Coturnix japonica: one gene and its partner. The protein of the gene in region 1 interacts with the protein of each later gene in a biochemical or structural test. Links are inferred from orthologs where the notes say so. Each region holds a gene or a part of one and is shown on either strand. Other genes may lie near its edges.

The links.
Region 2: the proteins of RAPGEF2 (region 1) and RAP1A form a complex in vitro, tested with the Homo sapiens proteins (2 studies listed by BioGRID and IntAct, with this or other methods). The link is inferred for Coturnix japonica from reciprocal best matches to the Homo sapiens genes RAPGEF2 and RAP1A.

The regions. Positions count from the first base shown.
Region 1 is NC_029519.1:19,462,947-19,467,073, reverse strand, and holds the start of RAPGEF2 (rap guanine nucleotide exchange factor 2), read right to left. Parts: upstream 2,638-4,127; 5' UTR 2,628-2,637; coding exon 2,559-2,627; intron 1-2,558. Other genes in the region: translation initiation factor IF-2-like, read right to left, coding at 2,638-3,345, 3,453-3,500. UniProt on the Homo sapiens protein: Functions as a guanine nucleotide exchange factor (GEF), which activates Rap and Ras family of small GTPases by exchanging bound GDP for free GTP in a cAMP-dependent manner.
Region 2 is NC_029541.1:3,384,642-3,388,029, reverse strand, and holds part of RAP1A (ras-related protein Rap-1A), read right to left. Parts: intron 2,709-3,388; coding exon 2,652-2,708; intron 2,539-2,651; coding exon 2,398-2,538; intron 626-2,397; coding exon 482-625; intron 1-481. UniProt on the Homo sapiens protein: Counteracts the mitogenic function of Ras, at least partly because it can interact with Ras GAPs and RAF in a competitive manner. Together with ITGB1BP1, regulates KRIT1 localization to microtubules and membranes.

The DNA.
Region 1 (4,127 bases):
TCAAAGAGAAAATGAATAGTTTAATAAAGCAGTTAAAGAGGAGAGCTCTGTTACACAACAGTCATGCTGAAGTACAGGCTACGTGTGCTTCCATTTATTTTTAATTTAGAGTTCTAGTCAATGGCGTGTTGAGTTGTAATATGTAGAACTCAAAGAAACTTTTAAACAAGGACACACGGATTACGTATGGATTACACTAAGAACTTCCCAAAGCAGGTGCAGAATTGTTTGCCTTCCAAAAATAAAGAATCAGTCCTGTCCAAAATTACCAGGAGGCTTTTGCACTACACATGCTCATGCAGTTTAGTTTGCTTTCCCCAACAGATTACATCAGTTCTAACAGTTTCTGAAGCTGTACCTACACCTGAGTGCTCACTGTGCTGTTGTCATTCCACTCCTCGCTCTGAGCCTGCAGTGAAGACACTCTGCTTGGTGCAGGACAGAGCAATAATGTCAGATACAAATCCACATCTCCCTAATTTGGGAGAAGCTGAGCCCAGTGAGCTGGTTAACATGAGTGGGCAGCGAACACAATACTAACACTACTGTCAAGTTATTTCCTGTACTGACACAAAGACGATAAATATATTGTCTCTTCCTAACTCTCTGTCAGCTCCCAATGACTTGACCTAATGAGTTCCCAAAAGCTAAAAGTATCTTCACAAGACAGCCGCAGAAACAAAAATGTAAGCAGAGGGAAAACAGGGACAGAAAAAAAGTCACTTTCAGGGAACAAGAAAAAACAAGGTCCTTGTTTCTTCATACAGAAACTTCTTTCGTTTGTTTTTCATTTTACTTGATAACTGCATTACAGACATATCACTCATAGCTACATTTCTTTCAAATTCCAACAGTGCTGTAAGATAAAGCTGAGACTACTTCCAGAGTGCAAAACAAGCACTAGAGGACTGGCCCAACAGCATGACTATGGACAGCAGATCCAGGGGAGCAGAGGGCCCTCTCCCCACCATCTCACTCCCACTGGCAGCACTGGGCAAGCATGCCTGAGCCCCAGCTCCCAGCACCCACAGTGCTTAAAGAGGCTGCCCAGAGAAGTAATGGATGTCCCAACCCCCCCAGGCAGCCTGATCTGGTGGGTGGCAGCCCTGCTCACAGCAGGGGGTTGGAGTTCAGTGATCTTTAAGGTCCCTCCCAACCTAAGCCATTCTACGATTCTGATGACACGCTCTATTTCCCACCAGCCTGGTCTATTTGTGGCTTATTTTGGCCAGTCAGCTCTGTGGATTTCAGGGTGGGTTTCTTTTCCTGTGGCAACTGCCACAGCACGCTTTCAGCCTGCTGATTCTTGAAGTTTTAGCACATTAATGCAGTCCTGGTGTTCCCAATTTAGCTCTGTGCCCTTCACACTGGCTTTGTCCCTGCTTTCCAGCTGATTTCCTCACTGCACCAGTTCCTACTTGTTCATTGCTCTTTTCAGCTGCCCCTTACAAAGAGTGTGGCCTGGCAGGGCCAAGGCTCCAGCCTCACCTGGCACAAGCTCACAGCTGTCACAGGGAAGTATTGGCTCCCCGAGCTCAGCCTGGTGGCCCCACGACCTGACTGACTGGTTCCTGAGCAACTGGTGGTGTCACTCCCCACCAGCAGCCGGCCACCACTCCACAACCACCTTCCAGGGCAAGCACCACTCCAAGGCTCCCACCCTGGAATTGTCCCAGCACAGGAACTTGGCTGCCAGAACACTGCATTTCCAGTGGGTGCCAAGGGATCACTCCTGCACTGAGCAGAGGGACATTTGGAAAGGTCAATCAAGGACAAAGGAACAACTCGAGCTCCAAAATAACACATTCCAGAAGTAGGATAAAAAAAAATAACAGGGAGACTAGAAGATGAATAAAGAAGACAGGTTAACGCAATGCCCGTGCGGCTGGTGTGTTTTTCCATGGGAGCTTTTGTTTTCTCACACATATTCCACCAGCACAGGGATAAAAATAACATGACCACAATGACGTCTCTCTAGCAAAAGGAATGACTTATGGGTGCAGGCCGAAAGTTAAGGTTTCCTCTTTGCCCCCAATTTGAAACCTTTGCCAGCCAATCAGAGGCTTGCCAAAATAATCAGCGAAAACATCTCTTCCTAAAAACCAGAGTGCAACGGGCTCCCAGGGCGCGGGGAGAGCTTGTGGAAAATAGGGCAGATGGCACCGCAACTCGCAGCAAAGTATAACTCCTCGCTCGCACCGCTAACCGCGGAGCACGGCGATGGGGGATCAGCGCAAAGCTCATTAGCCCGCAGACAGCTGGCAGCAGCACCCGTCCGGGAGCAGCGGGAGCTCACGCCGGGCTGCCGCCTTTCCAGCTCGCCTTAAGCCCCAACAGCGCCCATGGCCGGGATGGGGCTCAGCATCAGAGCCGTCCGTCCGTCCCGCCGGAAGCACCCGATGTACGGAGCGTCCATCCCGACCCCAGACCGGGCAGCGGGAGGAAAGTTGCACGCCCTGCCGTCGCCTCTCCCCTCCGCTCCTCTCCCCAACGCCCTCGCCCGGTAGCGGGGCCCCCGCCTGCCTCCACGCCCGGGTCGCGGGGAAGGGGCCGCCTACCTGGGGGCTCCGCTCCGCCGGGTTCTTCATCACCGCCTGGCGGAAGCTGTTATCCACGTAGGACGCCATCGCGCCTCGCTCAGCCGGCGCGGCGGCCGCTCCCGCCCGGCTCGGAAGGGCGGGACGGCAGAAGAGAGGAGTGCCGGCGGCGGCCTGGAGCTGCGGCCCGAGGAGAGCGGAGGGAGGCGGCGCGGGGACCCCGGCGGCACTTGTGCTCAGCAGCGCCGCCGCCCGGATTAGGCCGCGGCCGAGCCCCGGAGGCGCGGGGGCTCCCGGCGGGCTGGGGGCGCCCGGCGGAGGCGGCTGCGCGCTCCCGCTCTACCCGGCGCTGCGCCTCCCGCCGGCTCGATCCGCCGCATCCCCACGGGCGCCTCCGCCGCCTCCCATCGGAGCTGCTGGGGCTCCGCGCCCGTCTCGGAGACGGGGAAGTTGCTGGCTCGGGGAGGCGGGGCCGAGGCGGGCCGGCCGGGGCGGGGTTGGGGCGGACCGCGGGGGGCCTCGGGCGGCGGGGGGCTGCCGGCTCCGCGCCCGGTGCTTTGTGCGCGATGCCGGCCCCGGCTCGCCCTCCGCTGCGGCCGCTCTCGGCACCGACAGGTCTACCCGTGTCCCGCCTGTCCCAGGCTGCGGGATGATGGCAGAAGCAGCGCCCGAGCGCGGCTGGCGAGGTCAGCGCCTGGGCCCGAGCTGGATTGCGCCAAAGCGGGGCTGAACTGATCCCGGCTGCACGCCAGCCAGCCCGGGAAGCCAGCTCCAAAACTCCACGTCCATCGTTTGAGAGGCTGATATCCTAAAAAGGAGGGCTCAGTAGTCCCGAGGGATGTGCGGCAAAAGAGACAACAGCTTCGGAGACACGTCTGGTGCTCACGGCCTCCAAGCTGGGTGCTGAAGCCCCACCAGCTGGCTGGGGTGGCCAGCAGCTTTGGCCAGGCCACCTGTTGCCATTTGTCCCATCACTGACCCTCACTGACCCACTACCCCACACAGGCAAGAAGGGGACCAAGGAAAGGAGCACCGTGGCACCAAACCAGCATCTTCTGGGGCTGCCGAGTGGCCCTTTCACCTAAGCATGGTCAGTAAAGAGCAGTGATCTCGTCCCATGGCTGGTACTGTTTGTTACTTGACATGAACACACCACAAAAGCAGCCCAGCAACACTAAGCACGGAACAGCTATTAAGGTGTCATTAATGGCAATGTAAAACTGTTGCTGTGTTTCCTTCCATAAACAATGTCTACCTTGCACTGATACGTATCACGCAGTGTAAATAATACTGACATCAGGAAATCTGACTGAATTGATTTTCACTCGCTGAAATAGATTTACATTTGATCATAAGGAAGGTCTTATAACGTTTATTTTTATGTCTTTGTGAAAATGTATGGACATTAGTATTAAGAATGTTTTTTTTCTCTCTTATATGGCATACACTTCTGGTCTCAGGAGACACAACCTTATGCTTTTAGACACAGATGACCCTCTTACTGGCCATGTCTTCAAACAGTATCCTTCTAAACCTCTCGAAACTCTATATTTAGTTCATCAACAAAGATAACTCTTTGGGTTAATCCTA
Region 2 (3,388 bases), on another chromosome or scaffold:
TAAACAAGGAAAACTGTGCAGATAGATCCATGTTTGGAAATGGGCTCAGTAAATCAGTGGCTTACCAGAGGAGGAACTGTGATGGGATGTCTGCTTGAGCAGCCAGATGTAGCAGGAATGTGAAAAGCAAATACTTTCAAAACCAACAGCCAATACTATGCAACACGACAAGTGATACAGTGGGGCATATCCACATTCAGAATAGCAGCAGTTGTTATCTTTAAAACGTGTAGAAGTTTATCTAAGAGTCATCCAGGTCACTCGGGACCCTCTGCTATCCATGCTCCCTGGAGGTGTTTAAAAACCATCTGGATGTGGTGCTCAGGGCCGTGATTTAGCAGAGGGCTGTTAGAATAGTATGGTCAGGTTGTGGTTGGACTCAATGATCTTTAAGGTCTTTTCCAACCTGAGCAATTCTATGATTCTACTCTACAAGGCATTCATGTAGAAGTGAGAAAGACAAGGTGCAGCTCATACTTACCTCATTAACATTGATTTTAGACTTTGCAGACGATTCTAGAAAGGCACAGTTACACCACTGTCTTGCTAAGTTTTGACCCTGTTCTTTGCCGACTACACGTTCTTCCTCCAGGTCACATTTATTGCCAACCAGAATCATTGGAACCTGGAGAAGGGATGAGCAAGAGGACGAGATGTGTCAGCAACATAATATACAACACCTACTGCCCAAGCAGTGCTGTCAATGAAATGCAGCTATGTGGTCCCAGAGCCCCAGCACACGGCCATCTGCCCATCACATCACAGTGCATATTGCATCACTGATGTATTTTATGCACAGATAAAAGGGCATTCACTACAAATAGCACTGAAACCATCATTAATAATGACTCGCTGATAATAACTGAAGTTTCTAATTAACGAGCCCTTGGCAGCTCAGCTCCCAAAAGGAGCTTCCAATAAATGCCACATTAAAATACACATTTGGTGCATTTTCAGTGTATTCAGCCTATATCCACAATGCAGACACAAGAAGTCATTTGCTCCACAGCACAGTGATGGCCGTCAGCCCCTCTCCTTCAGCAGCTGTTTCCCTTTGCTATACACACGTAGAAAAAACCCCAAACCCAAAGAGCTGCTGCTGGTGGGTGTGTGCCTCGCTCCATTTCCTGAAGCATTTCATTCTTTGAGCAGAAAATGAGTACTCTCCAGCTGGGAAATAAATCACCATCCACTTCCTTTGATAATTTCCAACACACTATACGCTTTCTAATCCACTTGAAAGTATTTGCAGTCTCTCCCTCTCATTCAGCTGCACTCAAGATTAATTTTTGTCTTTAAAACAGCCGTATTGAGCAGAAAACGACGGCACTTTTATGCTTAAGAAGTAAATTTTACTTCTTACATCAGAAAGCTGAAGGCACAAAACCCCCCTCAAAAGATCATTTCACATTAAGGCCAGGCTGGATGGGGGCAGCGAGAAACCTGGGCTAATGGAAGTGTCTCTGCCTGTAACAGGGGGTTGGGAACAGATGACCTTGCAGGTCCCTTCCAACCCAAACCCTTCTATGATTCACAACCATCTCAGCCCAATGCTCTCTCTTACACTCTCTCCTTCTGAACATGTTCAGCAAATAAAAGAAGGAAATGAAAATGAGAAATGATAGGGGGGAAAAAAAAGTGCTACTTAGTTGATTAATGGGACAGGTTTGAAAGATTCCAAACTTTTTATAAGGTTATTTCAGGATACAGTAATCAATGTGGAGCAGAAAAGGGAAGTAGAACAACTTGCTCTATCACTTCCTGTGTCATGTGAAGACTGGATTTAAACACAGACTAAGGTTAATGGTTTAAGTGCTGGGATGTTAAAAGCTGTGCCCTGAAACTTAAAAATGGAAGCCCAAAACTGAGCATGAAAGTTGAAGAGGTTCTGAGCCTTGGGTTGAACAAATAGGCTGGATGTGGCTCTGGGCAGCCTGGTTTGGTGGTTGGCAACCCTGCACACAGCAGGGGCATGAAACCAGATGATTATTGTGGTCCTTTTCAACCCAGGCCATTCTATGATTCTATGTGCCACCCCCTGGCACAACACCATAAATCCATTTTAGTGACTGAATCATTATTGGCAAATGTAACAGTGATTTCTCTTTAGTCTGAAGGAAATGAAGTCCTGCTAATGCACAGTGAAAGAGGAAAACACCAACACTAAAAAAGACTCCCACCATTTTGCTATCACTCCCCATCCAGACTGTCAGCTTTCCAGCAAACTCGAGATGTTGTTTTTAATGTCACAAACACTGCAGAGGGAACTCCAGCACAAAACTTGGCTGTGCAGCAATGAGTATTCCTAGAAAGACATTCTGCTCACGTACAAATTTCCACGTGCTTCATTCGGAAGATATGCTATTCATTTACAAAACCAGACAATGTTGTACTTACATCTTCAGTGTCCTTCACCCGTAAGATCTGTTCCCGTAGGTCCTGTAGGTCGTTAAACGTGGACTGTGCTGTTATTGAATATACTAGTGCAAACCCTTGGCCGTTCTTCATATAGAGATCCCTCATTGCTGTGAATTGCTCCTGGAGTCAAGGAAAAAGGAATGGCATTAATGCAGCTGATGGATGTTTGTGATGGAATAGCTTTGCTGTATGGAGATAAGGAGGTGCCAATTAGAAAAAGGGGTTACACTTACTGTCCCTGCTGTATCCAGGATTTCAAGCATACACTGTTGACAGTCTACCTCCACTTGCTGGGGAAAAAGAGAAAGAAACAGTTAAAAGTAAAGCCTCCAAAATGAGGCAGAAGAGAGGAATCTCAGCTTCATTTTTCACTTCTGCAACAGAGAGTTCTGCAGTACAGCACCTTCCCAGCACCATGAGAGGCTCTGCTATCAGAGCTCAGTGACACCCCCAGCTGGCACATGGGGCAGCTCCCTTGTACCTCTGCTCACGCTCAGGCCTATCAAACCTTTCACCATCTAAGAAATGCCTCTGACTCCCCGTGGGTAATTCTACGAAAGCTGAATAAATCTTAACAGCAGAGCTCAGAATTTATGCTTAATTATTGCAGGCATGAAGGCTGCAAGTTTTGTTTTCTGTTTTGGTGTCTTTAATTATGGCAACAATTATGCTAATCTGCTAAACAATGGGTTCCTTGACATCAATCCCAGAGAAGAAAGCAGCACTGTTAATAGAGCTGCATAACACCAGGGTCAGGGATCCTGACAAGGACTTCTGCTCAGCCCTGCGTGCAAAGCAGCTGCAGAGACTTTGTATGTGCCTTCAAACTAAGCAGAATAACACCAAGAGAAAGCAACAAAGACATCAGAGATCTAAAAGTTGTGCGAGCAACAGAGGTTAAGTTCTCCTATTAAATAGAGGTAAAAACAGCCAATTTAACAGCACCATTGGCCCTTTTCTTATTATTCAG